Linked DNA regions of Callithrix jacchus. The protein of the gene in region 7 interacts with the protein of the main gene of each other region in a biochemical or structural test. Links are inferred from orthologs where the notes say so. Each region holds a gene or a part of one and is shown on either strand. Other genes may lie near its edges. The genes, in order: RAB8A, GAK, EIF4EBP1, MAP2K6, RAB5B, MBP and LRRK2.

Region 1 (4,187 bases), on a different chromosome or scaffold from region 7:
CTAAAGGGATCCTCCCACCTTAGCCTCCTGAGTAGTTGGGACTACAAGCATGCAATACCACACCTGGCTAATTTTTTTTAAGTTTTTTTGTTTTGTTTTTTTTTTTGAAAGAGTCTCGCTCTGTCACCCAAGCTGGAATGCAGTGGTCTCGAACTCCTGACCTCAAGTGATCTGCCTGCCTCAGCTCCCAAACTGCTGGGATTACAGGCATGAGCCACCAGACCCGGCTGCAAGCCCGATTTTCCTAATGTATCCCTCCTTTTCTTTTTTCGAGTGTCTCGCTCTGTCGCCCAGGCTGGAGTGCAGTGGGGCAATCAAGGCTAGTGGAGCCTCAATCTCCTGGCCTCAAGCGATCCTCCGCCTCGGCCTCCAGAAGCGCTATGATCACAGGCGGAAGCCACCGCGACGGTCTGTTTTTTCAATGTTGAGAGGACCACCAGACACAGAACCGCCGACCCTAGATAGGACCCAGCATCCTCACTGCCCTAACCCGCAAGGCTGGCCCGGACAACCCCTAAGGCGGCCGAGGGCGGGCCCTGAGGGGGACGGCGCGCGCCTTGGGGCACAGCTCGTGGCGGTGACGCCGCTCAGGTGGCGGAGAGCTTGGGTATCTCTAAGCAGGTTGCCAAGCCACAGCCGAGACCTCGGATCTCGCCTCGGGGGTCACTTTTCGATTATACAGCGCTTCCTCTCTCCTTCCTCCCTCGGCTCACGCTGCCCCGGCAGACCACAGACGTATAAAAAAGCTCTTCAGTCCTTTCCCGCGCTCGCTTCGGCGCCTACTGAGGCTGCGCGAATTGTGAGGGCGAGACCCAGAGATACCCTCCCCAACTATGCGCGTGCGCCCTCTGCTGGCGCCTAACGGACCTCCGGGTGCGCGTGCGCACGCACCCCAAGCCCCGCCCACAGACTGTCGGCGCGCGAGCCGTTGGCGCTGCTCGCTGCTTTCCCTCTCCCATTTTGGGGCGGGGCCGGGCCGCCGAGTCTGTGGTGGAGGCAGGGGCCACATAATGCCACGCCCCCGTCTCGTCCCCCTTTGAAGCCCCTCGACTCTTTACTGCTGGTCAATCAGAGCCCGTCCTCATATCAGTGCTGGCCAATGGGAGGTACGCTCGGGCTGCTTCCGGCTCCGCGCTACGCTCGCCCCCTCCCCAGGTCTCCCCGCGGCGGGCGGGACTCAGGGGCGAGTGTCGGCCGCGGTGACACGCTGCGGGCCTGGAGCCAATAAGGGGCGGGCTCGGCGCTGATGGACGGGGCTGGTGGCCAGTGGATAGGCGCTAGCTGCACTTCCTGTCGGGGAGAGAGTGTAATATGGCGAAGACCTACGATTACCTGTTCAAGCTGCTGCTGATCGGGGACTCGGGGGTGGGGAAGACCTGTGTCCTGTTCCGCTTCTCCGAGGACGCCTTCAACTCCACGTTTATCTCCACCATAGGTAGCGGGATCCGGGAGTGGCTAGGGGCGCCGGAGGCCCGGGCTGGGCGCGCCCCTGAGGGGCTGGGGCTGAGAAATCTACCCTGCTGGGCGGGCCGAGGGCTCTGAGAGGGTCGAAGGGAGAAGAGCAGCCGCCTGCACCGCCGTTTCGGGGTTCATGGGCCGTGGCGGGGGAGACCAGGTGCCCATTTTGCAGATGGGGTGACTGAGGCTCCCATCCTCAGCCCGCTCGTTAGGGAGTGTTATGTCCTGGGCAGGCGTCTTCGCACCCGTCCTTTCGGTCTGTCCTAGCAGCAGCCCTCGAAGCGGTTCTTTTGCGGTTCCTGTCTTACAGAGGTGGAAACTGAGTCATGAGGAATTGGCTGTGGGAAAAAGACGGTGACATGTCGCCTTAATGAGCAATTGCTATGTGCCAAGTCCTTCACGTGCATTTCCACACTCTAGTTTCGGTGTTTTAAGTGCTGTTATGAGCCCGTCTCACAGATGAGTAATTTGAGGCTCAGGGAGGGCGTGGGACTTATCCAAGGCCACACAGTCTGCAGGTGGTGAGAATGGGATTTAATGGAATTTAATCCTGGCTGTGTCTCACCCCAAAACTCGAGGCTTAGCTCTTCTAGAGAGTTAGCACCACACACCCCTGGCTGATGACAAACTCAGTTAATGCACCTTGGAGCCGGGACTCTAACTCACACCATTCCTCCTCTTCTCTGGAGCATCCAGAGGTTGAGTCCCTCTCCTTGCCATGTTTTCCCCCATAAGTGTATTTTCCTCTAGAAGAAATGATAAGAGGAGTCAGGACCTTTTCCCTGCCTGCCTTTTATCCTGCTCCAGGATGACAGCAATGGCAAGTGACAGTGCTGCCTGCCCTGGGACCTGTCATCCCCAAGAAGATGCAAGATAAAACCCTCAATGAGAAACTAAATCAGCCACTGCCACAGACAGCCTTGACTTCCCTATCAAAGGGCCCAGGACACCGGTTGTCAATTTAGAACAGCTTTTCCCGTAGGGCCAGCCCACATCGTGGTTGAACAAAATTGGCTTGTTGTGATGTCTCAGTTGTGATGTCCACAGAAGTAGAGTTGACCTCTCTCAGCGCCACAGAAGCAGTCCTGGCCCACGATGAAAAGGTTAGACCTGGGAGTAACACCGATCAGAGTGGCCTGTGAGCTCTGCAGCCCTGCTAGGGATGGGGATAGTGAGGGAACGGTCACTAAGTCAAGGAGTTTATTCAAAGTCAAGAAAACATAGAGAATGGCCTTTGCTTTATGTGTGACTTCAACAGAATCGTGTTATCTCCCTAAATCTCATGATAATGTGCCAATTCCATTCTTGCCCCCCTCGAGGAGCTGCACTTTATGAAACAGTTATATGCCAGATGTAAAGTAGAGAGAATTAACTGGAAATCATCATGTCTGGTTCCTAGTTGCTGCTGGCCCTTGAACGTGCACTACCCCTCTCTGACCCCTGCTGTCTTCAGAGCAGGAGTGACGCTGTCTGCCTGGGCTAGTGCCCTGGTGGTTGAGGACTAGAATTAGACAATAAGGGGTTGTCATCACAACCAGAGGCCATCTAGAGAAAACAAATGAATGGCTCCTGTGGTGACAGCTTCCACCCTCTGAAGACAGATGTTTCTGAATTCTTCCCCCTCCCCCACTCCAAGGCCAAGCTTTAGGGTAACCCTTGTGCCCCAGCCAATCAAAAAGTGGCTTTAATTCAGCCTGGACGACAGGGCAAAACCCCATCTCTGCAAAAAATCAAATGAAATTAGCTAGGCATAGTGGCTCACCCATGTAGACCCAGCCACTTAGGAGGCTTAGGTGGGAGGGTGGATTGAGCGCAGGAGGTCAAGGTGCGGTGAGCTCTGATGGCGCCACTGCACTCCAGCCTGGGCAACAGAGCGAGACCCTGTCTCAAAAAAAAAGAATACAACTGTGGGCAGACTGTGGCTTGCATTTACCCAGTTCCCAGTTTCCTAGCCTCAGCACCTTCCCCTCAAACCCCCTCTTTAGAGTTACTTTAAAGCTTTAAAGAGGCCATCTTCCATTTGCAGATGAGGATATGACTTGGTGAAAGTTAACCTAGCAAGGTGACCCCAAGATCCCTCCCTCCCACCCCAGCGTTCCGCTCCTTCCATTTGTAGCCTTCTGTCTTCTAGGAAAGTCTAATTCACCGTGACCTTGAAGTTCAGGCCTCATAATTCTTAGGTCTCATAAAGTTTGCACTTCCTAATTAAATTTGGCGTGTTAATAAAACCCAGCAGGAGTGTAGGGCAGAGCGCTACTGTGGAGCTTAGCCAACCTAACAGTGCTCCTTGATTTTGTGTGTCCCTGTGCACGCATGGCAGGAGGTGGGGTATGCTTTAGGAAGCCTAGGCACACTGGGCTGTCTAATCCTGAAGCAGAATCTCTCAATGCTTAAAGACAATTCCATAAATTAGCCAGACGTGGTGGCACTTGCCTATAGTCCCAGCTACTCGTGAGGCTGAGGCAGGAGAATCGCTTGAACCCAGGGGGCAGAAGTTGCAGTGAGCCGAGATTGTGCCACTGCACTCCAGCCTGGGCAACAGAGCGAGACTGTCTCAAAAAAAAAAAAAAAAAGCGATTCCGTGTTGGCTGAGGGCACCTCTGGGTTTTCTTTATAGACCAAGGATTGAGTGGCTGTTCATTTTCTGCCACTCAGTCCTTAACATTTTGCCAAAAGTAACATATCGCCAAAATCTATTCTCAGAAGCCCCATCGATCATTTTGTGGTGT
Region 2 (4,396 bases), on a different chromosome or scaffold from region 7:
GCTTCTGATAATCTGCCTTTTAAAACAAGGAAGACTAGGCCAGGCACACACTACTTTGGGAGGTCAAGGCAGGTAGATCACCTGAGGTCAGGAGTTCAAGACCAGCCTGGCCAACATGGTGAAACCTCGTCTCTACTAAAAATACAAAAACTTAGCCCAGTGGTGGTGGCACGTGCCTGTAATCCCAGCTACTCAGGAGGCTGAGGCCGGAGAATCGCTTGAACCCGGGAGGTGGAGGCTGTGAGCCAAGATCTCGCCATTGCACTCCAGCCTGGGCAACAAGAGTGAAACTCCAACTCAAAAAAAAAAAAAAAAAAAAAAAACAACTAGCCAGGTGCAGTGGCACATGCCTGTTACCCCAGCTACTCAGGAGGCTGAGGTAGGAAGATCTAGAACACAGTTCAAATACATCCTGAGTAAGATCTCATCTCTTAAAAAAAAAAAAAAAAAAGAGGATGACAGAACAAATCTGAAGAAGTTAGAAAGGTATCTGGTTCCACAGTTCTGCCTAAAAACCCATTCACACCACAAGTCCAAATTCCTAAAAGATATGCAAACCATTTTTTCTTAAACTCATCTGACAGCAAATCTATCATAACCTCATTTGGGATAAAACCTGACATGAACTGATACAGGGCTAATTACAGACTTTAATTATCCCACAGTGAGAATATTTATTCATTTAATTACAGAAGTACTAATGTCTTCAATTACAGAATACTTTCCCAGCGCCTCTGGGAGTATCCCATGATATACAGGGTTATATGCTGCAATGATCACTCTGAAACCTGAAAAATTCTGACATTGCAAACATCTGTACTCAAGCGTTCGATCAGGGGCCATGGCCATGTTTACATAAGACAGCCTAATTCCCACAGCGTATGTTCTGAGGTTGCTGTCCAGACAAAACTTATTTAAATATGTTTATGTAAATTAAAATCATTCCATTTTCACACCCTGTTTCAGTTCAAAGAGCCTTCAAAGTACTCAGGAGGTTGCAAGCCACCTGTTAAGTTTACAAGGAGGAAATCTACAGCTCCGAATGGCATTGGTTATTTTTATCTCCTGACTCGCCTAGATAGCAAAGGGAAACAAGTTCTTTTGCACAACCTCAGCGGCCGCCCACATTTCCTTGTTCTTCTTCCTGGGCGCTAAATGACCCACAAGCTTCTTTCTTTACATGAATCTTCTCCAGGCCCCAGTGAGGGTGCATTCTCCACCCTCCCTCCCCATCCATGCCATCATCTGCTTGGCCCCTTCCCGGAGGTCACCCTGTCTGTACAACCTCCAAGGATCTGTCCCCATGCTGCCTCGTCTCTCCACCCCAGAGCACAAGTCTGAAGTTCCAGAAACCAAGTCCTGTCCATTACGGATTTCTTAAAGAATGAAGATGACTACCTAGTATTTCCAAAATAAATGAGTTGATCTGGGGGAAATCTGCCTTCTAACAGATGTGAAAGAATATCACACTTCGGCCCGCACCTCTGAAAGAAGAGCTTAGAGCTTTCTTACCAAAACGTACCCGAAATCTGTTTGGTCCTGACCACAATGGAGACAAAGTGTGTGATAATACTACAGTCAAAATGTCTCTGCAAGCCTGTGATGATCAGAATTTTGGGACAGTCTCCTCTCTGGTCACAGGGCGGCCACCTGGACAGGCTCACCCTCCAGCCCTGAGAGGTACCACGGATCGGGTGAGGGCTAACGCGCCGCTTCGCTCCCTCTCCCTGTGCCAACACAGCAGAATAGACTTACGTTTCAGCACCGAAGTCAACTGTGTTCAGCCAGTGAAACGCGACACACTCCCAGGCACCACTGGACAAAAAAGCAAGGAAGATCCACAAGAGAGAACGGGACCGACTGACGCTGGTGATGGATTCCGTGTGACAGACGGAGAGAACATTCAGGAAGCTAGAAATGGCGTGCAGAAACGAAACTGACTGGAGACTGGCTCAAGAGTACTTAAGCTGAGCGACCTGGTCACAACTACTAGCTCTGCTTCCCGTGCTACACATGTAATCACACGGGGAAGAGAAACACTGAGGTGCTCAGAAGGGATCACGGGATCACGACATCACGACATCACGAGACACAGCCCTGTCTACCCTCAGCAACCCAACCCCAGGCTACGACCGCAACTACCTGCCACGCTTCTGCAACCACCAACTCTGAAGCTCCCTGGACTCTAGAAGAACCAGCCCGGACCTCCAAAGTCCAGCCCTGTCCCTGCCTGCCCAATAACCCTAGATGTCAGGCAACAGGCCAAGGCTTAAACCCCCCTCCGGCTCGCTCACCTCCTGACTCCAGCTGTTGGCCTTCTAGGCACCCTCCCTCAGCCTCCGCTAAGGCCCCCACCCAAGCTCCCTGCCTGCCACCATCCTCACTGTAACATCTTCCCCCACCCACCCTGAGGGGGGTCCCCGAGCCCCAGGCCTTGCTCCAACTTGACCCTACTCCTAGGACAAGAAGTACCCGACCCGAACCCAGCCTCGCCCTCCGCAATCACCACCAGCAGGCACGGACCCACGCCCCACTGTGACCCTCGCCCCCGGCAGAGACCCTCCCCTGGCCGACCCTGACCCACGACCCCCGCTGGGACCCTCCCCAGCCCCGACCCACGCCCTTCCACTCCGGGCTGACGCTGCCCGCAGCGTTCGGGAGACGACACTCCGCGCCAGCACCCGCGCTGCCGACCCGGGGCCTCACCTTCGGCCAGAACCCGCCGCACCCGCAGCCGCAGCTCGCCCAGTTCCACCGTCTGCCCCACGAAGTCACTGTGGTCGCGGCCGGAAGCGCCGCCCAGGGAGCCTGGGCCCGCCAAGAAGTCGAGCGCCGACTGCAGCAGCGACATGGCGGTGGCAGCGCCGCACCCCGCGGTACCCGGAGTGATCGGGCTCCGGCTCCAGCTGCCTCGCTCTCCGGGTCCGCTCAGCAACCGCCGGCCCCGAGCGGCACCATCTTCCGCCCCGACGCCGTGACGTAGGCGCGCGTGAGGGCGCGTCGCGACAGGAGGCGTCGCGGCCCAGCCCCATCCCCTCCGCTGCGGCCTCACTTCCTGGCTGCGCGCGCAGACGCAGAGAGCTGATGCAGACAGAGCGTGCGCGGCGTCGCCGGCCTCGTGACGAACTTCCTGCCGTCAAGCGCCCGGCTGGCCTGACTCAAGCGGAGGTGCGCGGAGCAGTTGCCGGGGCGATTCCCGCCCAGGTAGTTCGGCGCCGCATCCCAGCTCCTGGTACCGTTCCCCACATGGTCTGTTTTGCGGGAGGCTCCTCTCGGCCGTGTCCGGTTTAAGCGCCTCACAAGCGGGTGGAGTCCGCTTCCCTCTTGCTGTTAGCAATGGGAGAAAAATGGGTTCGCGCGTTCTTCTCTCAGCTGGCTGAGGAGCACGGAGTTAGCGTCCGTTCAGCCTTCAGTAAATACTTGGTTCTTGTCTTCTGGAGGTCGGCGTTTCCTGTGACGCTTAGCGAGTAAGGTTGGCGGCCCCCTCCCGGCAGCCGGGCGGCAGTTTGCAGGTGAAAGGCTGCTGCGCTCCCCCGTCTTCCGAGCAGAGGGCCCGAGCCTGGGCTGGGGCAGCGTCCAGTCATGGGAGCCGGGGGCCAGAAAACCTTGGTTCTGGGCAACCGCACCCTGCAGAGGCTGCCCTGTCACCCTCAGGGTTCGTTCGCACCCTCACCTTTTCCAAGACAAAAAGCGGGTCCTCTTGAACCACTCGGAAGGGTTCGTAGCGCCCAACATGAAAAGGTGGCTTTCCTTATAGGGTAATAAGGGAATGGCTCACGGAAAATGCATTTTTAGTTTTTGCCCCAAGCAGTGTTTGAGGGTTGGGGGTGGATAGCGGGACGTGAATTCGTTGCTATCATTTAAAGACCGGGCGCGGTGGCTCACGCCTGTAATCTCAGCTATTCGGAGGCTGAGGCAGGAGAATCGCTTGAACCCGGGAGGTGGAGGTTGCAGTCATTGAGCCAAGATTGAGATCACACCACTGCACTCCAGCCTGGGCAGCAGAGTGAGACTCCGCCTCAAAAAAAACCAACAAAAAAACCTGAAAGGCCTAAACGTTAAAAATCTGGTTTTTCAGCTTCTGTAGAAAAATCAAACCTATCAATATTGGACCCCAAATCACGTGTGTTACCAGTTACCCAGAGCGGTCCCTTCAGGTAAGACGCAGTCATTTGCCTGGCTGGCTTGGCTCGTGTATGTCACCTGCCTGGTCCCTATAGTCATTTGAGGTTGCAGACCTTTGCGTAGAGTCTTTGTTCTCAAACTCAAAAATGGATTATAAAGCTCAAATCAGCATCTTACCTGTCCCAGAAGCTGACATCTGTTATCTTTATCATTAAAAGACAATAGGCTCAGCTCATTGGAACACTTAACCTGTTTTATGGAATGAAGTGTT
Region 3 (4,138 bases), on a different chromosome or scaffold from region 7:
TCTTTTTTCCCCCCAGACTCCAGAGATCTGAAAGGTAAGGGAAGTGATGTTCCACTAATTCCTGAGTACTCAGAGTGTGGTATGTGCACTACTCACTGAGAGCTAGTTAGAAATGCTGACTCTAGGCTGGGCATGGTGACTCACGCCTGTAATCCCAGCACTTTGGGAGGCAGAGGCGGGCAGATCACTTGAGGTCAGAAGTTGAAGACCAGCCTGCCCAACATGGTGTAACATCCGTCTCTACCAAAAAATACAAAAATTAGCCAGCATGGGTGGCATGTGCCTGTTGTCCCAGGTATCAGGGAGGTGAGGTGGGAGGATCGCTTAAACCCAGGAGGTGGAGGTTGCTGTGAGCCAAGATCGCACCACAGCATTCCAGCCTGGGCGACAGAGGAGACCCTGTCTCAAAAAAAAAAAAAAAAAAGAAAGGAAGGAAGGAAGAAAGAAAAGAAAGAAAGAAAGAAAAGAAATGCTGAATCTAGTCCCCACCCCCACCTACAGAATCAGAATATACCTTAAATGAAGACCCCAGTTATCCTTATGCACCTGGAAGAGTGAGAGGCAGTATTCTGGTCTGGAGCCAAAGGGTCCCAGGATGTGACCATTTCAGCTTCTCTGCCCTGGCAGAAGTGGGCTAAGGTGGGCTTTGGAGGAAGAGTCCACACCTTGGCTAATCGAGGCTGACCAGGCTTGCTTGACTTTAGTAGAAGTAAGCCGGATTTCCCTGGCTTAGGGACTGGGAGCTGTACCTGCTCCACAGGCCGCCCCAAAGAGTGAGCTGGCTTTAGGTTCCTGGCACTGCTAGCTTCTTCCAGTAATCTCAGAAACATATGCCATGTCCCAATGCAGAAGCCCCTTCTCCCTTCCTGCTACTGCTAAAGACCTTCAAAGTGAGTGGGATTTGCTGTCAGCCCCCTGACTACTCTCCACTTCCCAATCCAAAGTGAAAAGTGGATTCAAAGTTCCTATATTTTACATTTATTATTTATTTTAGAGATAAGGTCTGCAGTGGTCAATCATAGCTCACCACAGCCTCCAATTCCTGGCCTCAAGCGATCCTCTGGCCTCAGCCTCTGGAGTAGCTAGGACAACATTCTTTTTGTTGTTGTTTGTTTTTTTTTTGTAGAGATGGCATCTCACTATGTTGCCCAGGCTGGTCTTGAACTCCTGGCCTAAAGCAATTCTCCTGCCTTGGCTCCTCCCCAAAATGCTGGGATTACAGGCATGAATCTTGGTACCTCGGCCAGAAGTGCCTATAAACAGTATCCCTGGCTTCTAATTTGACCCAACAATCCAGCAACAAAGGGTGCAAAAAGAGGCTCCCTGTTCCTTCAGGCCAGCCTCAGGGCCCACCCTGAACGAATCCAGCAGACACTTACCCCCTCAGTTGAAAGAACTCCAAAAGTGTCAGGAATTGGCCTGGTAGACCATTGTGACAGAGACAAAGGAGAACAGCATGGACTACAAGTGAAAGAGGATGAGTCGGGAGTGGCAACAAGAGCGCCTGCAAGCTTCTCCTCGGATCATTTCTAACAGAAGAGGAAGCATTCCTCCTTTCTCTGCCTGGTTGCTATTTCTTGCCCAATCTGGGAAAACGGTGTGACAATGGACACGTGTTCCAGCTCTGAGGCCTCAGTGCCTGGCTCTGTAGAACAGGCGGCAGAGTTGGACAAGATCCCTAACCGTTCTAACAGTGTATGTTTTGGATCGAACGGCAGAGGACCTCGGATCCGGCTGTGCTTGCTGCCGGTGGGGCAGAATCTGCCTGAGAAAATAAGCATTTGGCCCCCACCGCCACCGAGCCAAGCGCCGGGATCTGTCGCGTTTTCCAGTAGTTTGGAAAGCAGCGTGGAGGAGGATGGAGGCAGAGGAGCAAAAGGAGTGGGGGCAGTGCAAGGATGGGACCGAAGTGGTGAGCCACGAGGATTTATTTCATCATGCAAACAGGAGCGTAGGTTTCATCAGCGCCTGTGCGCTGCGGCTCCGGGGCTGGGAGGGAATGCCAGGTTCCTGAGGGCAGCCCGAGGCTGTCCACCCCACCCGTGCCAGCTCAGCTTCCTCTTCCTCATCCTCTCCCAGGGAGGTCACACGGTGCCTCCTCCTCCCCCCGGACAGAAGAACGTGCTTTTCTGCACAGCCCGGCCCGTGGCGACAGGCCCCTCCGCGGAGATCTCACTTGCATAAATGGGGAACGTGCCACAGGTGCCCGGGAGGTGCTGCTGGAGCAGGGGAGCACCCGCAGACCCAAACCTCCGTCAGAGCGCGAGTGTCCAACGCAAAACTAGGGGTGCCTCGGGAAAAAATCAGGGCCCTGTAGAAATCATTTATCCCAACAGATAAATAATAAATTTATCCCAACTCATCCCATAAAAACACCAGGCCGAGCCTTTCTTGGATCGTGGGCCACACTGACCCCGCCCTATCCCGCCTGGGGAGCGCCCCCAACATCCACAAGGGGCAGCACAGCTCGGCACGTGGCAGTCCTGGAGGCGTGCTTGTTAGTTAGGTGTCAGCTGTCTGACACCTAACAGAAAGAGGAAACGAACGGGGCAGTTTGCAGCTCCGGTCTGGACGACGCACTCGGAGGACAGCCGGGCGGTCACTTCCATGACCCTCGCTGTCTCCCCGACGCCCCTTCTCCGTTCTTCCCAGCCACAGCACCCTTTAGCCTGGACGCCCGGTCCGATCCGCGATTCCCAATCCTCCCGCCCTCCCGGGAGCCGGCACGCGGCGTCCCCGAGCCAGCGCCTACCTCCCGGGGTGGTGCTGAAGAGCGTGCCTCCGGGGGTCGTACTGTAGTCCCCGGGCGGGAGCTGCACGCCGTCGCCGAGCACCACCCGGCGAGTGGCGGGGATGGCTCGGCTTGGGGTCTGGCTGCAGCTGCTGCCCCCGGACATGGTCTCCTGTGCGCTGCAACCGCGAACCTCTCCCTGCCCTCCCGCGCCTGCAGCCTCGCTCCGCCTCGCCCCGGCCCGCCCCGCCCCAGGACGCCCCTTCCGCCTCTCCAGGCCCACGCCCCTGGGATTTGTAGTCCGCGCCGCAGCCCCACCCAGCTCCAGGCCGCTGCTTGCACGTGGATTCTCCTGCCGCCCCCCGATCCACGCCCGCCTGCTCACGGGCTCCTCCATACCGCCCCCCAGCGACTGCTCCTCCGCTCTCGGGTCCCTCGGCGCCACTCTGGCAGGGACCCGGGTTGGGTGGCGGGCGGAATAGCTCGCCTATGTTAATCCTTGTCTGGGTTGGGGGCGGTGACTCAGGACCGCGCGGAGATCCGAGCTGACCCGGCCCACTGCAGGAAGGCCCGGTTTCTGCATTAAGACTTCAGGCCGGGTGTACCCTTTGGCACTCCCTGTTCGTTGCCTCAGTTCCTCAGATGAGAAAGTGGGATTGACTGGTCATGCTCACCCCACCTCAATTTCTTGACCTTGATGGGGATGGGTGTGGAGGGACTAACAATTCCGCTCCTGGCCTTTAGAGAGGAAGAGAAGGGGTGGGAGGAGTGAACCAACCAGCAGCGTCCTGGGAGCTAAATTTAGAGTTGGGGGCGGCCGGGAGGGGGGACGCGTAGGGGAGGAGTAATAGTTTGTCCAAAAGGTTTCCCGATAGCCCCTGAATTGGGTCCAATACCCACGCCACTGCCTGAGGTTTAGTAGGTACTTCTTGGTTGAATTGACGGATGTTTAGTAGGTACTCTTTGCTGGATGAATGGATGCATGCATGGATGATGTTCAAGGGGAGAGAGAAAAATGCAAGAAGGACCGAGGATGGAAAAACTTGTTGGGTTTGAGAAGTTCCTATCATTGTGTGCACATGTTGTGGGGAAGAGGGTGAAGAAGAGAGGACGGTTCGAAAGGGAAATTGGGTGATGCACCTGTAATCCCAGCTGCTTAGGAAGCTGAGGCTGGAGGATTGCTTGAGCCCAGAAGTTGGAGGCTCCCGTGAGCTGTGATCACACCACTACACTCCTCCTTGGACAGAGACCTTATCTCTAAAAAATACGTAATAATTTTTCAAAAAGGAAATTGGGGTCAGGTCGTTGAGTTTTTCAAATCATGTCAAAGTGCTTGGACGTTGTCTTAGAGAGGCAGGAGACATCAGAACTCTTTTAAGCGGGGGAATGACATGATTAGAGTTGTTT
Region 4 (3,706 bases), on a different chromosome or scaffold from region 7:
CACTTAAAATTAATTAATAATACTAATCTGCAGTCCAAATGTACTTTCTTCAACATCACACAAAATTAATTAATGATACTAATCTGCAGTCCAAATGAAAATTTCCTTGATCATCTCAAAGTGTGTATGTGTGCTTTATCTTGTTGGATTTTCAAATCAGCATCCCAATGAAAGTTTACGTATTGCATTTGGCTGTTATGACTAATAAATCTCTTTTATTCTATATTTTGTTGCTTTTAAAGAATTGTCCCTGAAAATCAAGGACCCAGAATTGAGAGAGAAAATTGTCTCCATTTGTGAAAAAAGGAGGGTAAAATATATCTAGAGTAAATTTGCATAGTTTTTGAGCTATTAAATGAAGTTTAAAATCATTTCATATTATTGAGTAGATGCTGGGAGGATTGTAAAGAATTAACATCTCTAGTTGAATTAATAGATTTGGGCCATTGTTAGGAATGATCAGGTGACTTGGATACCTTTGCTTTTGAAGAATGGAAATACTTTTATCTTTTAGATTTTCCAGTCTGTTCTTCTGCTGACTTTTTGCTGTAGGCAAAAAGTTTGAAGGCCTAGTGTTATTGTATGTCTCCTATCATTTAGTGACATAATCATGTTTCTGTAAGTCTACATTTGCTAGTGTGACAGATTTCTCTCAGAAGCACTGGGATAGGAATGAATGGTTTCTTCATTTCTGTTGAATTCCTTCTATTTCCTATAGCTGTACCAATTCTCTTGCAGTTGCTGTTTGCTCCAAATACTCTTACATGTTCCCAAAGAAGAGCTTTTGGCTTTTTATTTTCTTAGGATCCCAGATAAACAGCAAAGTAATTAATACTATGACCTCTTTGCACTGAACAGACATGAGAGTAAACTAGATTGTTTCTGTAACTTGGAAATACTTTCCAAAACATTTTATCACCCTCTAAAACAGTATCAATTTGTTTCTTACCAGTACTATTCAGGAAATCAAATGAGTAACATTCTTTCTTATTTTCAAATAGCTAATTGCTTAGGGTGGATATTCACAATGTTGTTGCTAGAAGTAGTGTTATGAACCGTATTATTTTGATGGAACTCCTTCAGGTCCCTGCCTGCCTCATCATCAGAGTAGTAACCATAAATTTTCCATGCATTTCCATTCAGCGGATCCGAGCCACAGTAAATAGCCAGGAACAGAAAAGGCTACTGATGGATTTGGATATTTCCATGAGGACAGTGGACTGTCCATTCACTGTCACCTTTTATGGCGCACTCTTTCGGGAGGTAGGTGACCCTTCAATTCGAAGTTCAAGAAGAGCAGTAAATGAAAAAGAAGTTCCTTTGATCATGTACATGCCATGCACAATCATGGAGCTCTTTCTTGTTTGACACATCTTGTATAGCGGTGTTTACATGTGTGCAATGATGACATGCTCTGGGGCGCGGTTGGATTGAAATTATGGCTTTTTTTTTTTTGAAACAGTCTTGTTCTGTCACCCAGGCTGGAGTACAGTGGCGCAATCTCAGCTCACTACAGCCTTTGTCTCCTGGGTTCCAGTAATTCTCCTACCTTGGCCTCCTGGGAAGCTGGGATTACAGGCGTATGCCACCACACATGGCTAATTTTTGTATTTTTAGTAGAGATGGGGTTTTGCTATGTTGGCCAGGCTGGTCTCGAACTCCTGACCTCAGGTGATCCACCCTTCTCGACCTCCCAAAGTGCTAGGATTACAGGTGTGAGCCACCATACCCAGCCTACATTATGGTATTTTCAAATGTGATTAGCCTTTTTAAGAAGCTGAGATTCTCTTCTCCTTTCTTTCTTGTTTTGTTTATCTTGGCAGAACTTTCTATATTGCCTATAGACTGATTTGCAAAGATCCCTTATAATTTGAAATATTCTGTTCTTTTGAATGCTTTATGAGCTTCACCTAACCTGCTTGTGTACTATATAGACTTACTTTGATCTCTTTTCTCTACCTCTGTTTTTCACTTTATCATTATATGGATTATGAGGCTTTGCCTCATTAAAACCAGGTTTTTGACTGACTATTGCTGGTGCTTACTGTGGGAAATCCTACATGGAGTAGGCATCTAGAGCTAACTCCTAGAGAGTGGTATCAGTAAAGGCTTGGATTTCTGGGGTTGTATTGCTTATATTTGTTAGTAATTAGGTTCAATTTTCCGTTGAGGGGTAGGAGATCACATGCAGGTTCTGCTCGGCTACCTACTGGTTTTCTCTTTGGAGATAACCTTGTTTATTTGTAAATTCCTTTATGATCTTGACAGAAAACAATCTATTTCCCTGCAAAATTCAAAAACGAAATAGTTAATTTTTCAGGACAGGTGTTTACTGTTGTTTTTTTTTTTCTCCTTTCTCCCTTTTTCATCTTTTTAAACAATTCCTGGACCAATTGGTCTCCAGGGTGATGTGTGGATCTGCATGGAGCTCATGGATACATCACTAGATAAGTTCTACAAACAAGTTATTGATAAAGGCCAGACAATTCCAGAGGACATCTTAGGGAAAATAGCAGTTTCTGTGAGTACATTATGAGCCTTACTGCATAGATAATGTGGGAAATAAAGTTCCTATGTGTCTTTATACCTCAGTATAAAGAAATACTACCTGGACCACAGCTACTATTTGTACATGTTTGTTGAAGTTCATTGGTGGATGGATAAATACATGCTTTCCTTTCTGAGCACTGTGTAGAAGATTCTAGCACTGCTTTGGTTTGGCAGACTCTTAAGTTAAATAACTCTAAGTGGTGCATTCATCAGCTAGGACCACATTCCTGGTGTCTATATTCTGACATTAGTTTATTTTGATTTTCATTTATGGATTTTTAAAGTGTTCTCTTAAGACTAGTAGGCATCGAAGGAAGCAGAGGAAAATAAATAGAAAGAAGATCTGATACTTTTATGGCTCTTCAGGCTCAGGAGGGTGTAAAGAAAAAGAATGAGGGCAAGTGAACAAGACAGATGAGGGAGACATCCTCTCTGATATAAGATATAGTCCTCTCTGGTGGATGGAGTCCAATTTGTGTAACTTCCTGTGTATTTTCCTAGATAGGACCACCACTATTTAAGAAAATATCTCAATGGTAACCTAAAGCCAAGGAAAATAAACCTTGATATACTTAACTTTCAATTTCTTTCCAGGGATGTGATAAATGAATCTATCTTGTATTTCTCTTGCAGATTGTAAAAGCATTAGAACATTTACACAGTAAGCTGTCTGTCATTCATAGAGGTAAGCATCCATGAGCTGCCTTGGCTGTTCCTTTGATAAAGTTCATTTCTTCCACCTGGAGTCCCTCCCTACCCCAACCCCCCATGGATGGAAGTAGAATTGACTTCCAACTAAGGCAAGAGAAATACAGGGCTTTCCCTTATGATTGGATAGCAAACAATGTAAGTAGTATCCCTTATTGTGGCTGAGGACATAAGAAGAAGACATGATCTTCATATTACACCAAAATTGACTATAAACCCTTGTTAGCAAGCAGAGCTGTGGGAGTACATCTTTGGAAATTTTAGAGAACATGATAAAAATTGATCTTGTATTGGCCATTGCATGATAGCTCGTCGGAAAAGAAGCATGGGTCTCAAGACCAAATAAATTGGAATTTGCATTTTAACAAGATTTCCAGGTGATTCTTGGGCACATTAAAGTGTGAAAAACTGGTATAAAGCAGAGCCCTTTCAGACAACAGTAGGCAGG
Region 5 (3,706 bases), about 28 Mb from region 7:
TGCTAGAGCAATAACGATGCTAGGACTGGCCTGTCGCTGTAGTTCCTTCACCCATGTCTTCGCTCGGGCAAAGGTTTCCTAGGAAAACATTTAGAGAATGAGTAGACTGAAATAACTGCCAACCCATATCTATCACCTTTTAAAATGAGTCTCAAAATTCACCTCTTTCAGGTGGCCTTCCCTTACTGAAACCACTGGTCTCTGATAATTCATTTTCTCTGTCTTCTTAGCACTTGGAAGCATAATTTGTACTCTTATTTGCTATTTCAAGAACATGTTTTCTGCCCACCCACTCCATCTAATTTAATTCCTCTAAATATAAGCAAGGACAGTCCTCTTAACTCACTTACCTGATTAGTAATGTCATAAACCACGATTGCAGCTTGGGCACCCCTGTAGTACATGGGGGCTAAGCTGTGGTATCGCTCCTGCCCAGCTGTGTCCCAGATCTCAAACTTGACTGTTGTGTCATCTAAACAAACGGACTGGGTGAGGAAGGCCGCTATGGATAAGAGAAAGGAGGGGAAGATGCTGTAAGTGAGAGGATGAATGGGAACATACCCCACTTCAAAATATAACTACCCTCACTCTAAGACCAGTCACCCCCGCAGGATACTCAGCTATAGGAAAAGGTTTTGAGTTCTCCTTACATGTAAGTCTTGGAACCACGATTAAGACTGCCCTTGGCTAAGTCCATCCTGCCAGAAATGTCTCTGGCTAAGGAATGGGGGTACATCATAAACTAAGAGGGATAGAAGAACTCGCACTTATATGAGTCATCCTTCTAACCAAAATAGGAGCATAACAAATGACAAAGACAATAGCTTCAGACAAAAGTCACATCAAGAATTAATTAGAAGATTGGCTGGGTGCGGTGGCTCATGCCTGTAATCCCGGCACTTTGGGAGGCCAAGGTGGGCAGATGACCTTGAGATCAGGAGTTTAAGACCAGCCTGGCCAACATGGTGAAACCCTATCTCTACTAAAAACACAAAAGTTAACCAGACGTGGTGGTGGACAACTGTAATCCAAGCTACTAGGGAGGCTGAGGCAGGAGTATTGCTTGAACTAGGGAAGCAGAAGTTGCAGTTAGTAGAGATCATACCACTGCACTCCAGTCTGGGTGACAAAGTGAGACACAGTGTCAAAAAAAAAAAAAAAAAAAGAATAAGAATATTTTAAAGCTTGATGGCAAGTACCATCATTAATATTATTTGGCTGTTACTTTTTCATATAATCTGCTGCAGGTCCAGGAATACATTTCTAAGATGACTAATAAAAAGGGGAAAGAGGCTGGGCATGATGGCTCACATTTGTAATCCTAGCACTTTGGGAGGCCAATGTGGGTGGATCACCTGGATCACCTGTGATCAGTAGTTTGAAACCAGCCTGGCCAACACAGCAAAACCCTGTCTCTATTAAAAATACAAAAATTAGCCAGGGGTGGTGGCACATGCCTATAATCCCAGGTGCTCAGTAGGCTGAGGCACGAGAATCACTTGAACCTGAAAAGCAGAGGTTGCAATGAGCCAAGGTCATGCCATTGCATTCTAGCCTGGGCAAGAGTAAGACTCCATCTCAAAATAAATAAATAAAAGTAAAAAGGGAAGGAATAATATAGAAGTTCCCATAAAAGATGCTTTATTGAATTAGCACCCTATTTTGGGGTAGTAGCTGGGAAAAGGTAGCAAAGATGGGAAAGACAGATACCCTTTATAGTTTGCATTAGTTCCAGCTCCTATTTTATCAGATTTTTTTTTCACCTCATTTTTGTTTTCTTTCATCTATGTTGGAGTGCAGTGGTGTGATTCTGGCTCACTGCAATCTCTGCCTCACGGGTTCAAGCAAGTCTCCTGCCTCAGCCTCCCAAGTAGCTGGGATTACAGGTGTGTGCCACCATGCCCAGCTAATTTTTTTTTCTTTTGAGATGGAGTTTCACTCTAGCCACCCAGGCTGGAGTACAATGGCACAATCTTGGCTCACTGCAACCTCCACCTCCTGGGTTCAAGCAATTCTCCTGCCTCAGCCTCCCGAGTAGCTGGAATTATAGGCATATGCCACCACATCCAGCTAATTTTTGTATTTTTTAGTAGAGATGGGGTTTCACCATGTTAACTAGGCTGGTCTTGAACTCTTGGCTTCAAGCGATCGGCCTGCCTTGGCCTCCCAAAAAGCTGGGATTACAGGTGTGAGCCACCATGCCCGGCCTATTTTACCAGATACTTTGATGAGAATCACCTAAGGAGCTTTTCCGAAAACATGCATGTGCTGTCACTACCAACCTCAACCTACCTCTAATACTAATTAGTAGGTCTAGGGTCTAGCCCCAGCAAGAATAGGTTGAAAATGCTCCCCCAAATAATTCTGATACATTCTTGATTACGAATCACTGCTCCAAACCAAATTTTTTTTTTTTGAGACAGAGTCTCGCTCTGTCGCCCAGGCTGGAGTGCAATGGCATGCTTCTCAGCTCACCACAACCTCCGCCTCCCAGGTTCAAGTAATTCTCCTGCTTCAGCCTCCCAGGATTACAGGTGGGCACCACCACACCCGGCTAATCTTTGTATTTTTAAGTAGAGACGGGGTTTCACCATTTTGGTCAGGCTGGTCTCGAACCCGACCTCATGATCTGCCCGCCTCAGACTCCCAAAGTGCTGGGATTACAGGCATGAGCCACCGTGCCTGGCTCCAAACCAACTTTTATCTGCTCAAGATGACATTCAACTTCACTGGTATTAAGACAATAAACAGAGTAGGAAGAGGCAGACAGACATAAAAAAAATGGATTTTCTTGGTGTGCAAAAGTCAACCTCTGTTTCTTCTAGGAAGCAAAAGGATGAACATATACCAGCTTTTTGGCATTATGGCAATTATTTTTCTTTGTTTTTATATATTAATTTTTTGAGATAAAGTTTTGCTCTTGATGCCCAAGCTGGAGTACAATGGCTCACTATAACGCCTGCCTCCCAGGTTCAAGCGATTCTCCTGCCTCAGCCTCATGAGTCGCTGGGATTACAGGCACCCGCTGCCACACCCAGCTAATTTTTGTATTTTTAGTAGAGACAGGGTTTCACCACGTTGGCCAGGCTGGTCTTGAACTCCTGACCTCAGGTGGTCTGCCTGCTTTGGCCTCCCAAAGTGCTGGGATTACAGACGTGAGCCACTGGGCCTGGCCTCTGTTTTTATAAAGGGTTTCCATTCCTGGGGAAAAGAATAGGACTAAGAGGGGCAGCTCCATAATGAGGTCCTAGTTCTCTTTTCAAAAGCCTTACTGGTTGGATGCAGTGGTTCACACCTATAATCCCAGCACTTTGGGAGGCCAAGGCAGGCAGATCACCTGAGACCAGCCTGGCCAACATGGTGAATTCCCCTCTCCACTAAAAATATAAAAATTAGCCAGGCGCTGTGGTGGTGTGTACCTATAATCCCAGCTACTCGGGAGGCTGAGGCACAATAATCACTTGAACCAGGGAGATGGAGGTTGCAGTGAGCTGAGATCGCCACTGCACTCCAGCCTGGGAGACAGAGTGAGACTCCATCTCAAAAAAAGAAAAGAAAAAGAAAAAAGCCTTACCAAGCATTGAATATCCTCTTACCCCAAGGCACTCACCTCCAATGGTGCTCTCCTGGTACTCGTGGAACTGCCCTTTGACAAAACGTAATACCAGGCTTGACTTTCCCACTGCAGATTCTCCCAGCAGGACCA
Region 6 (4,292 bases), on a different chromosome or scaffold from region 7:
TCACGGAGATAAAGCCAAGAGATATTTTGGAGAAGAAAAGCTGTTTCTGATGTTAAAGCAGGTATCCAAAATAGGACCCAGTGTTCCAGCTTCCCGGCCTGGGCTTGAGTGACTTGAGCTGGGACCCGGGTGCACCTGCATTCACTGTCACCACCCGTGCTCCTAGGGCAGCTGTCCAGCCTCCCACACCCACTCGCTCATCCTTGACTTAAAGTGAGGTTGTGGGGACGGAAAAATCCGAGAAGCACACTTTACCTCTGACACCCTTTTCCCTGCCCCTTCTCACCTTCAGCCTCAAATTCCTAGAACCCTCCTGCCCTCTCCACTTGAAAATCTCTCCTGAGGAAAGGCCCAGACTAAATGCTTTGTACCATCGTCTAAATATTTCTCTTCAGTTAAGCAGCATTTGAACACAGTTGCTAAATCTTCCGGGTCTTCCGGGGAGGCTGGTTTTAGGCCGCAACCCCGACCCCCGCTGGAGCCGCCTCGCAGCGCGGCCCGGACAGCGCTCAGTCCTCTCCCTCACCTCCTGACGAACTGTGGGTCCCAGGCTGCCTCCGGAAGCCCCGGGTCCAGATCCCTGAGTGGGGGTGCAGGTCAGGAGGAATGCGGGGGCTCATTCGGGGACTCCCCACCTCCTCCTCCTCCTCCATCAGGTGACCGAGAATCCAGGGAAAGATCTCCCTGACCACCAACTGTGTGTGCAGGTCAGTTTTTCTGTTTAACAGTAGAGTGACGAAGACCACGACGCCTCCGTGCCGCGGGACCAGGCGGCTTCCCCGCACCTGGCGCGTTTGGCTGTCTTGTCCGCGCGGACTTCCTGCGCCCCTCCTGCAGGCGAAGGTGCGCTCCCGGCGCCCAGCGGAGCACCTGCCGGCCGCAGGTGGGCCTGGGCGGGGCTGCAGGGGAGGGAGGGCGCGCCTGGGAGGACCTGCCCGCTCCTCCCGCCTCCAGGGCGGGCTGACCCTCCTCCTGCAGGGTCGGGGCCGCGCCAAGTCCTTCAGCAGTTTCTGGGGTTTCCAGCCCCTGAGGACAAGGGGAGATGCGGCCTCGCTCCCCTCCGGCAAGGTCGGGGTCCGGGTGAGTTCGGAGGCCGAGCCACGGGGGAAGGGTCTCGGGCGAGGCTCCAGGCCGCCCCTTCTCCGAGGCCCGACCCTGAGCGTGAATCCCGTGCGACCCCCCCCCCCGGCTCCGAACTCCGCGTGGGCAAAGCGGGCCCGGGGGCCTCGGAGCTTCCCGGGAGGCCGCGTCGGGGGTGGGGGGACGGGCCCGGCGGGCTGGGCCTGTGTTTACCTGGCGCGCAGGAAGCCCGGGGAGGCGGGGCCGGGAGCGGAGTGCGCGCCCGTCCCTCGGAGCCGCCTTCAGTCTCCGCCGCCGCGCACCCGCGAGAAGCCGCCTCCCGCCCCGGCGGCCTAGGGCTCCCGACCCCGGAAGGCGGTGCAGGCTGTCTGGGGACCCCGCGAGCCGGCGCTTGAAGCCGGGACCTGCGCGCCCGGGCCTGGGACCCCGCGGCACCCCTCGGCCTCTGAGCAGCGAGCGCAGCGCCGGTGAGTGACCCTCGGGGGCGGGTGGGGGGCGGCTCTGGCGCCTTTGTCTCCGCGCCCCTCCGAGCGGGGACCGCGGAGACCTGGGCGGGTACCCGGGGCCGATCCCCGCGGGAGCCGTGGACTGAGAGTTGGGAACAGGAGCTGTCCCGGCGCCCGGACTCCGAGTCCCTTTCTCGGCCGAGAACGCGCAGGGGGAACCTGGGCAGTAGCGCAGGTGACCGGGCAGGTGGCAGCCGGGGGCCCCTGACCCGAACCCACGGCCCTGTCCCCGATCTCTACTGCGAGGGGGCGGGCGCGGGTGTAGACTCGGGTTTACTGCGCCGGGGTGGGATCCTGACAGGTGTCCAGGGTGGTCTTCAGCCAGGCCCGGCGTCCCGGGGTCGTAGAAACCGCTGGGCCTCGGGCCCCGGGGCTGAGGGGAGGAGTCTCGGGTGGGAGGGACGGCGGTCAGAAGCGGCCACTCAGGTGCGGAGAGGGTGCGGGCGGCGAGGGCGCGCTGGGGGGTCCTCCGGGCGCCTGCCAATCACGTCCCGGCTGCTCCCCCCCGAGGTGAAGCGCAGTTTCCCTCCGAACTCCGAGAGCGGCGGCGAGAGCCTGGGTTTGGGCTTCCGCCTTCTCGCGGCCTGTCTCGGGCTCCTCGGCTGGCCAGTCGCTGCGCCCACCTGGACCCACGTGCGCGCCCGCAGCTGCCGGTCCTCCCTCGCGGTGCTGAGCGCTGGGCTCGCGGGGCCGGGGTCTCCCCGGCTGCCCCTCCCGGGCCCGACGGCCTGTCCTGGGCCGGGGGCGTGGGGTGCGGGGTGCCCCCGAGGCCGGCGTATGTGACCGCGCAGTCATTTGCCGCCACCCTAGGTCTTCCCGGGCGCCGGGGGCAGCGCCTGTGCCCTTTCGCGTCCACCTGAACCCCCTGTTTCGGGAGGTGGAGTGGGGCTCGGGAAGGGGTTCAAGTGTCTTTAGGGATCCCTGTGCGACTCTGCCTGGAAACAGGCGCGTTCTGGTTCCTTGTTCCGTTTTCCGATTGCAACAACGTGAGAATCAACAAGTGCTCGGCTTCTCTGCGGGTGGGTGAGGGGCGCGTGGCTCGCCCGGCTTTGGGAGGGCGTGGACTTCGTTCCTGGGAGGTCTCTGCCTCATCTTGACCGCAGAACGCCCCGCCTGGAGAGAGAGCTTTTCAGAGGAAGGAAAGGTCAGGGAACAGCCAGTGTGTGTTTTGGACATTTTATTTGGTGAAGCTCCGGGGGATGGGTTAAGGAGGGTCACGCTCATGTTAGGGACCACATGGATGGAGTAGGGTCCTGAACTGAGCTCCCTGGCGGCCACCTCCAGCGATGGGTGCCTCCTTAGCCTCCTTAGCGGTTGGGACCCCGGGCTATGGATACGGCTCAGAGCCTGGAACCCAGCAGCCCTTCAGTAGAGGAGGGAAGGCCATGATCTGAAACCAGGCCGGCAGCCAGGGAGGGGATGCTCCCACGAGCCAAGGGATAAGGCACCACGCCAGAGGCTTTTTTTTTTTTTTTTTTTTTTTTATCAAGTGGGTTAAACAGAAACCTGAGTGAAAAGAATCCAGTTAAAAATGGTTGTAAATGCTGGAATAACTCTCAGGGAGTTAACTGTTCTCGAACAACCACCTCTGTTAACTCCGGGTTAAACAAAGCTATTCTGTTGTCATCTTCTTTGAAAACTCTCCAGAAGTATCGCAATTCTGCCCAGCGATAAGGAAGTGAAACATGCGTCACTTGATATAGATCTGGCAGCTCGTGGCTCCAGCTTGATTTGAAACGTCCGCTTTGAGTGTGGTGGGTCCCGGCTGTGGGCACTGATGAAAGGTGGCCACCGAACGCTGGGGGGAAAAGAGACCAGCCTTTCTCCTGACGTTTCTATTTCTGCCTGAATTTGTAAATGTTAATTGTAAGTTATTTTGTTTGACTTTTATCCCCAAGTTCTTTAAAAATACAGAAATTATCTGGGCGTGGTGGCAGGTGCCTTAATCCCAGCTACTTGGGAGGCTGAGATCTCTCGAACTTGGGAGGTGGAGGTTATAGTGAGCTGAGACCATGCCATTACACTCCAGCCTGTACAACAAGAGCAAAATTCTGTCTCAAAATAAAAAATAAAAAAAAGACATGCTTAAGATTAGCAGCTGCCTCTGTGCCTTTTCTGACCCCAGGGAGTGTTTATCGAGCACTTGCACATTGCCAGGCTCTCTTCTGAGAGCTGTTTGTCACCTCAGTTAACAGTTGTGATGGCCCTAGATACCCTCATTGGAGGTCACCGTGCTTTTCATATCTTCATTTTGACTGATGAGGAAGCAAGGCCCAGAGAGGTTAAGTTAGTCTAAGGGCACCCAGGAAGAGGCAGGATTCTGCCCAGGGAGTCTGCACCAGCGCCTCACTGCTGCTCTGCCCCGCTGTGGTGAACAGAATGCCTTGCAAAGGTGCTTATCATTCCTCCTTTTAAACTTCCACCCCTAATGATGAGTGGCGTGCACCCAGGGATGTTTCCTTTCAAGAATCATTTGACCAAAAGGTTCCTGTCATCCAACTTTGTTCATGATCCTCTCCTTAGCTTTCTTAGTTGCCAATGAAAAAGAAAGTATTCTAATTACTAATTACTCTTTTTTTTTTTTTTGGACGGTGTCTTGCTCTGTTGCCTAGGCTGGAGTGCGGTAGTGTAGTCTCAGCTCACTGCAACCTCCACCTCCCAGGCCCAGGTGACTTTCCTGCCTCCGCTTCCTGAGGAGCTAGGACT
Region 7 (3,706 bases):
TAGAAGCACTACTTATTTTCCAATAAATATTCAAATTCAAATATTAAGATTCACTATTTTCATCCAACTCCATATTCAAGAGATTATGAAGCCTTATATTCATCAAGAGAGCAAGGCCATTGTTATATGTGGTGTAAATTTATAAATTATCTTAGACATGTTGATATAGTAAAATATAGAGAGATATAATTAAGAGGTTAGTTTGTGTGTACAAATTAAGAATTCATTTGAACATTTAAATTATTTATTGCTACTATTTTTTAAAAGAGAAATTAAGACTATATTATATCAGAACGTGAACTCAGCATATCAATAATGTTTAGTTAGTTCCAATTCATGAAATTTTAATCCCTAAGTTATAAATTCCAAAAGATAATCTCTAGTCTATTCCTGCACAGCATTGTTTGGCTTTACATCGTTGGGAGAACACTGAACTGGCCACATCTAGAACTTTGTATGTATTCAAGAAAAGCTGAATAATCTTCATTTGGCAATTGCAGGAACTAAATGAAGTTGGTCTTCAATTCTCTGCCAGCCTTCCTCCTACTCACCCTGCCGTTACCTCTCCCTATACCATTCCCACTATTTCTGACTTTGTAACCACAGAAGAAATTTGTCTTCAGTACTGGGAAGTCTTTGGATGGAAAAAGACTTTGCAAAAAGAGAAATATGTTTTACAATCAATTTTTGCTGGGAGTGCTCTAATACACTCCACTGGAGAGAGCAGTGTGTCTATCTTCTTCTCAACTGCATTGTTTCTGCCCTAGAGGAGGGCTTAAAAAACATTCAATTAATAGAAGATGAATGACTGAATGAACAAAGTGAGTGAATGAAATCTCCTACATAAACATTTATGTAATTTAATTTGAACAGTTGGTTTGTACAGGAATATGACTAGATGAGTTTTCCAAACACTCCCTGGGGCTATAGGTTGGCTCATTTTGACATCTTGGAAATTCTCAGCCAAATCAAGGGACACTTAAAGTTACAATTCCTAAATACTGGTATATTTTGAGTAATTCCTCATCAAATGCTGTACACTTTAGAACTGACACATAGAATTACAGACGTTAGATCAGAGAGGAGAACTCCAATTAATTGTAAATATGCTCTTTCCAAAACACATCCTTTATGTGCTAAAAACAAGAAGAGTAACACATTTATCAAATAAGGGAAAATACATAGGCACAGATATGTTCACTTATGGACAAATGCACAGCTCTAATTCATCTAAATTTACAGCACCACTTGATACTGATTAGCAATACAAACATGTAAAAGGTTTACATAAATTAAATTTTCATAAACCATATACCACTGGAAGCCAGAAATATTCACAATTTCCTTTACTGTGGTAAAGAAAAGTCACATTCAGTATAAAAAAGATTTAAAGTTAATAACAGAAGGTTTTTTGTTTGTTTGTTTTTGAGAGTCTCACTCTGTCACCCACGCTGGAGTGCAGTGGTGTAATCTCAGCTCACTGCATCCTCCGCCTCCCAGGTTCAAGTGATTCTCCTGCCTCAGCCTTCTGAGTAGCTGAGAAGATATTTTAACTGTCAAGAAACAAAGCTATCCAAAATGTATTTTCCTGGAAACATATTCTCCAGAAAACATTTTCTTAATTAATTATGGCTAAGGCAGTAATCTCATCTAAGAAGACATTATGCTGCAAACTGCAAAAACATAGCTGGTAAAATTGCCATCAAGATTTGGCTGCAGATGTGCTGAAAGGTAATTTCCTCTTTTTGAAACCCATAGTTTAAACTCAATGTATATATATGAACATATAAATGTACTATTTAAAGATGGTAGAACATCAACTTTCAAATTACTGCTTACAGAACTAACTTTTCTCAGTTCCCATTTTTTTTAAGAACTAGTGGTTTGTATCAGTTCTATTATTAAAAAGCAAACTGTCTTCATGGTTTGAATTCAAAAGTACTCATCAAAACTCTACAACTTGGCCCAGCACAGTGGCTCACACCTGTAATCCCAGCACTTTGGGAGGCCGAGGGGGGCAGATCACGAGGTCAGGAGACCAAGACCATCCTGGCCAACATGGTGAAACACTGTCTCTACTAAAATACAAAAAAATTAGCTGGGCGTGGTAGCCCACGCCTGTAGTCCCAGCTACTTGGGAGACTGAGGCAAGGGTATACCTTGAACCTGGGAGGCAGAGGTTGCAGTGAGCTAAGATCATGCCACTGCACTGGCCTGGTGACAGACCGAGACTCTGTCTCAAAAAACAAGAAAAAATCTACGTATAAATCATACAGTATAATTAACTGTATGATTATATTAATAAAATAATAACTCCTGACATGTTACCTTTCTAAATCAAACTTCCGAGTTTAAAGCTCTCTATAAATGCAAGTCATTGACTCAAGGAAAAATATCTGTATTTTAAAGAATTTAACAAGAGTAGCCTTGAATTGCAAATACAATGTATCAAGGGAAGGTTGCTGTGAGTATAGATAAATATTCAAGGCAGTTTGTTTTTACATATCTATCATACTTACTGGTGAACACCAAGGAATTCCCAATCATTTCCAACATCCTGGGGTCCCATTAAGCTTTGCATTGTACCTGGACAGATTTCTATTAATTTGCATAAAAGTGACCAACCCACCTGAAAACAAGAAAGACATATATTCACTTTTTAAAGAATGTTCATAGAACATACCCAGTCAATTGTGAATCTCTTCATTCTTAGTGAAATAGATGCTTATCTCACTTGTAAATAATAGATGCTTATCTCACTTGTAAATAATTGTCATAAAACGAAATGATATCCTAAAATGCTTACCAAGAAACAAAAGCAAGCCATATCCTTAGGATACACCTTTCTCCAAAAATCATACCAGAAGGGCATACAAAATACATAACGTTTCTAAATTAAGAAGGACATAGACATGCCTACTGTCTAAATAAGGCAAAATAAAATAAAGTATAAAAAAAAAGTTTTAGAGATTGTGCCAAGTTTATTAAGTGCAAGAATGGCTATAGAATCCTTAGTACTTTTTTTTCTTGGTTTTTTGTTTTCAGTTTTGGTTTTGGTTTTGAGATAGAGTCTCACTCTGTCACCCAGAGTGTATTGCAATGGCACAATCATAGATCACTGCAGCCTAGAACTCCTGGCCTCGAGTGATCCTCCTACCTCAGCCTCCCAAGTAGCTGGGACTGCAGGTATGTGCCACCACACCCAGCTAATTGTTTTTATTTTTTGTGAAGACAGGGGTATTCCTATGTTGCCCAGGCTGGTCTTAAACTCCTGTGCTCAAGCAGTCCTCCTGATTTGGCCTCTCAAAGTGCTGGAATTAGAGGCATGAGCCTCCACACCCGGCCCTTAATAAGTTTTAAGTCATATCCACCTGACAGAATTTCCTCCACATATTTAAATTTTAGTTATATAAAAAAATGAAGTGGCTTAGAATGAAGGATTAGGGGATGTTGGAGATTTTAATAGCAATTTTAAATGGCTGCTCCCCAAGTAATGAAGCTGGACTAATAGAGGCAATAAATATGGCACTTTAAGCAATTGAAACTACATCTGGTAGGAGAAAAAGATAAAGGCTGTATAATGTAGACAGGAGGTAGAACTCCTCAATGGCTCCCTCTAGCTTTCTCTAGAATTAATTGATAAGGTCTAGAGATCACAGACAACCCTAGTGTAGGCTCTTTCATATTTCGAAATAAAGTTTGAACT

The links.
Region 1: of the proteins of LRRK2 (region 7) and RAB8A, one has a biochemical effect on the other in vitro, tested with the Homo sapiens proteins (2 studies listed by IntAct). The link is inferred for Callithrix jacchus from reciprocal best matches to the Homo sapiens genes LRRK2 and RAB8A.
Region 2: the proteins of LRRK2 (region 7) and GAK interact on a protein array, tested with the Homo sapiens proteins (3 studies listed by BioGRID and IntAct, with this or other methods). The link is inferred for Callithrix jacchus from reciprocal best matches to the Homo sapiens genes LRRK2 and GAK.
Region 3: of the proteins of LRRK2 (region 7) and EIF4EBP1, one has a biochemical effect on the other in vitro, tested with the Homo sapiens proteins (3 studies listed by BioGRID). The link is inferred for Callithrix jacchus from reciprocal best matches to the Homo sapiens genes LRRK2 and EIF4EBP1.
Region 4: of the proteins of LRRK2 (region 7) and MAP2K6, one has a biochemical effect on the other in vitro, tested with the Homo sapiens proteins (2 studies listed by BioGRID). The link is inferred for Callithrix jacchus from reciprocal best matches to the Homo sapiens genes LRRK2 and MAP2K6.
Region 5: of the proteins of LRRK2 (region 7) and RAB5B, one has a biochemical effect on the other in vitro, tested with the Homo sapiens proteins (2 studies listed by IntAct). The link is inferred for Callithrix jacchus from reciprocal best matches to the Homo sapiens genes LRRK2 and RAB5B.
Region 6: of the proteins of LRRK2 (region 7) and MBP, one has a biochemical effect on the other in vitro, tested with the Homo sapiens proteins (6 studies listed by BioGRID). The link is inferred for Callithrix jacchus from reciprocal best matches to the Homo sapiens genes LRRK2 and MBP.

The regions. Positions count from the first base shown.
Region 1 is NC_133523.1:14,726,595-14,730,781, forward strand, and holds the start of RAB8A (ras-related protein Rab-8A), read left to right. Parts: upstream 1-1,297; 5' UTR 1,298-1,311; coding exon 1,312-1,435; intron 1,436-4,187. UniProt on the Homo sapiens protein: The small GTPases Rab are key regulators of intracellular membrane trafficking, from the formation of transport vesicles to their fusion with membranes.
Region 2 is NC_133504.1:192,270,920-192,275,315, reverse strand, and holds the start of GAK (cyclin-G-associated kinase), read right to left. Parts: upstream 2,969-4,396; 5' UTR 2,852-2,968; coding exon 2,707-2,851; intron 2,016-2,706; exon of another isoform or gene 1,756-2,015; intron 1-1,755. UniProt on the Homo sapiens protein: Associates with cyclin G and CDK5. Seems to act as an auxilin homolog that is involved in the uncoating of clathrin-coated vesicles by Hsc70 in non-neuronal cells. Expression oscillates slightly during the cell cycle, peaking at G1.
Region 3 is NC_133514.1:38,881,794-38,885,931, reverse strand, and holds the start of EIF4EBP1 (eukaryotic translation initiation factor 4E-binding protein 1), read right to left. Parts: upstream 2,960-4,138; 5' UTR 2,898-2,959; coding exon 2,753-2,897; intron 1-2,752. UniProt on the Homo sapiens protein: Repressor of translation initiation that regulates EIF4E activity by preventing its assembly into the eIF4F complex: hypophosphorylated form competes with EIF4G1/EIF4G3 and strongly binds to EIF4E, leading to repress translation.
Region 4 is NC_133506.1:125,528,632-125,532,337, forward strand, and holds part of MAP2K6 (dual specificity mitogen-activated protein kinase kinase 6), read left to right. Parts: intron 1-1,143; coding exon 1,144-1,263; intron 1,264-2,404; coding exon 2,405-2,521; intron 2,522-3,183; coding exon 3,184-3,235; intron 3,236-3,706. UniProt on the Homo sapiens protein: Dual specificity protein kinase which acts as an essential component of the MAP kinase signal transduction pathway.
Region 5 is NC_133510.1:63,686,573-63,690,278, forward strand, and holds part of RAB5B (ras-related protein Rab-5B), read right to left. Parts: coding exon 3,611-3,706; intron 503-3,610; coding exon 351-502; intron 79-350; coding exon 1-78. UniProt on the Homo sapiens protein: The small GTPases Rab are key regulators of intracellular membrane trafficking, from the formation of transport vesicles to their fusion with membranes.
Region 6 is NC_133514.1:119,560,739-119,565,030, reverse strand, and holds the start of MBP (myelin basic protein), read left to right. Parts: upstream 1-1,363; 5' UTR 1,364-1,547; intron 1,548-4,292. UniProt on the Homo sapiens protein: The classic group of MBP isoforms (isoform 4-isoform 14) are with PLP the most abundant protein components of the myelin membrane in the CNS. They have a role in both its formation and stabilization.
Region 7 is NC_133510.1:35,484,524-35,488,229, forward strand, and holds part of LRRK2 (leucine-rich repeat serine/threonine-protein kinase 2), read right to left. Parts: intron 2,630-3,706; coding exon 2,520-2,629; intron 1-2,519. UniProt on the Homo sapiens protein: Serine/threonine-protein kinase which phosphorylates a broad range of proteins involved in multiple processes such as neuronal plasticity, innate immunity, autophagy, and vesicle trafficking.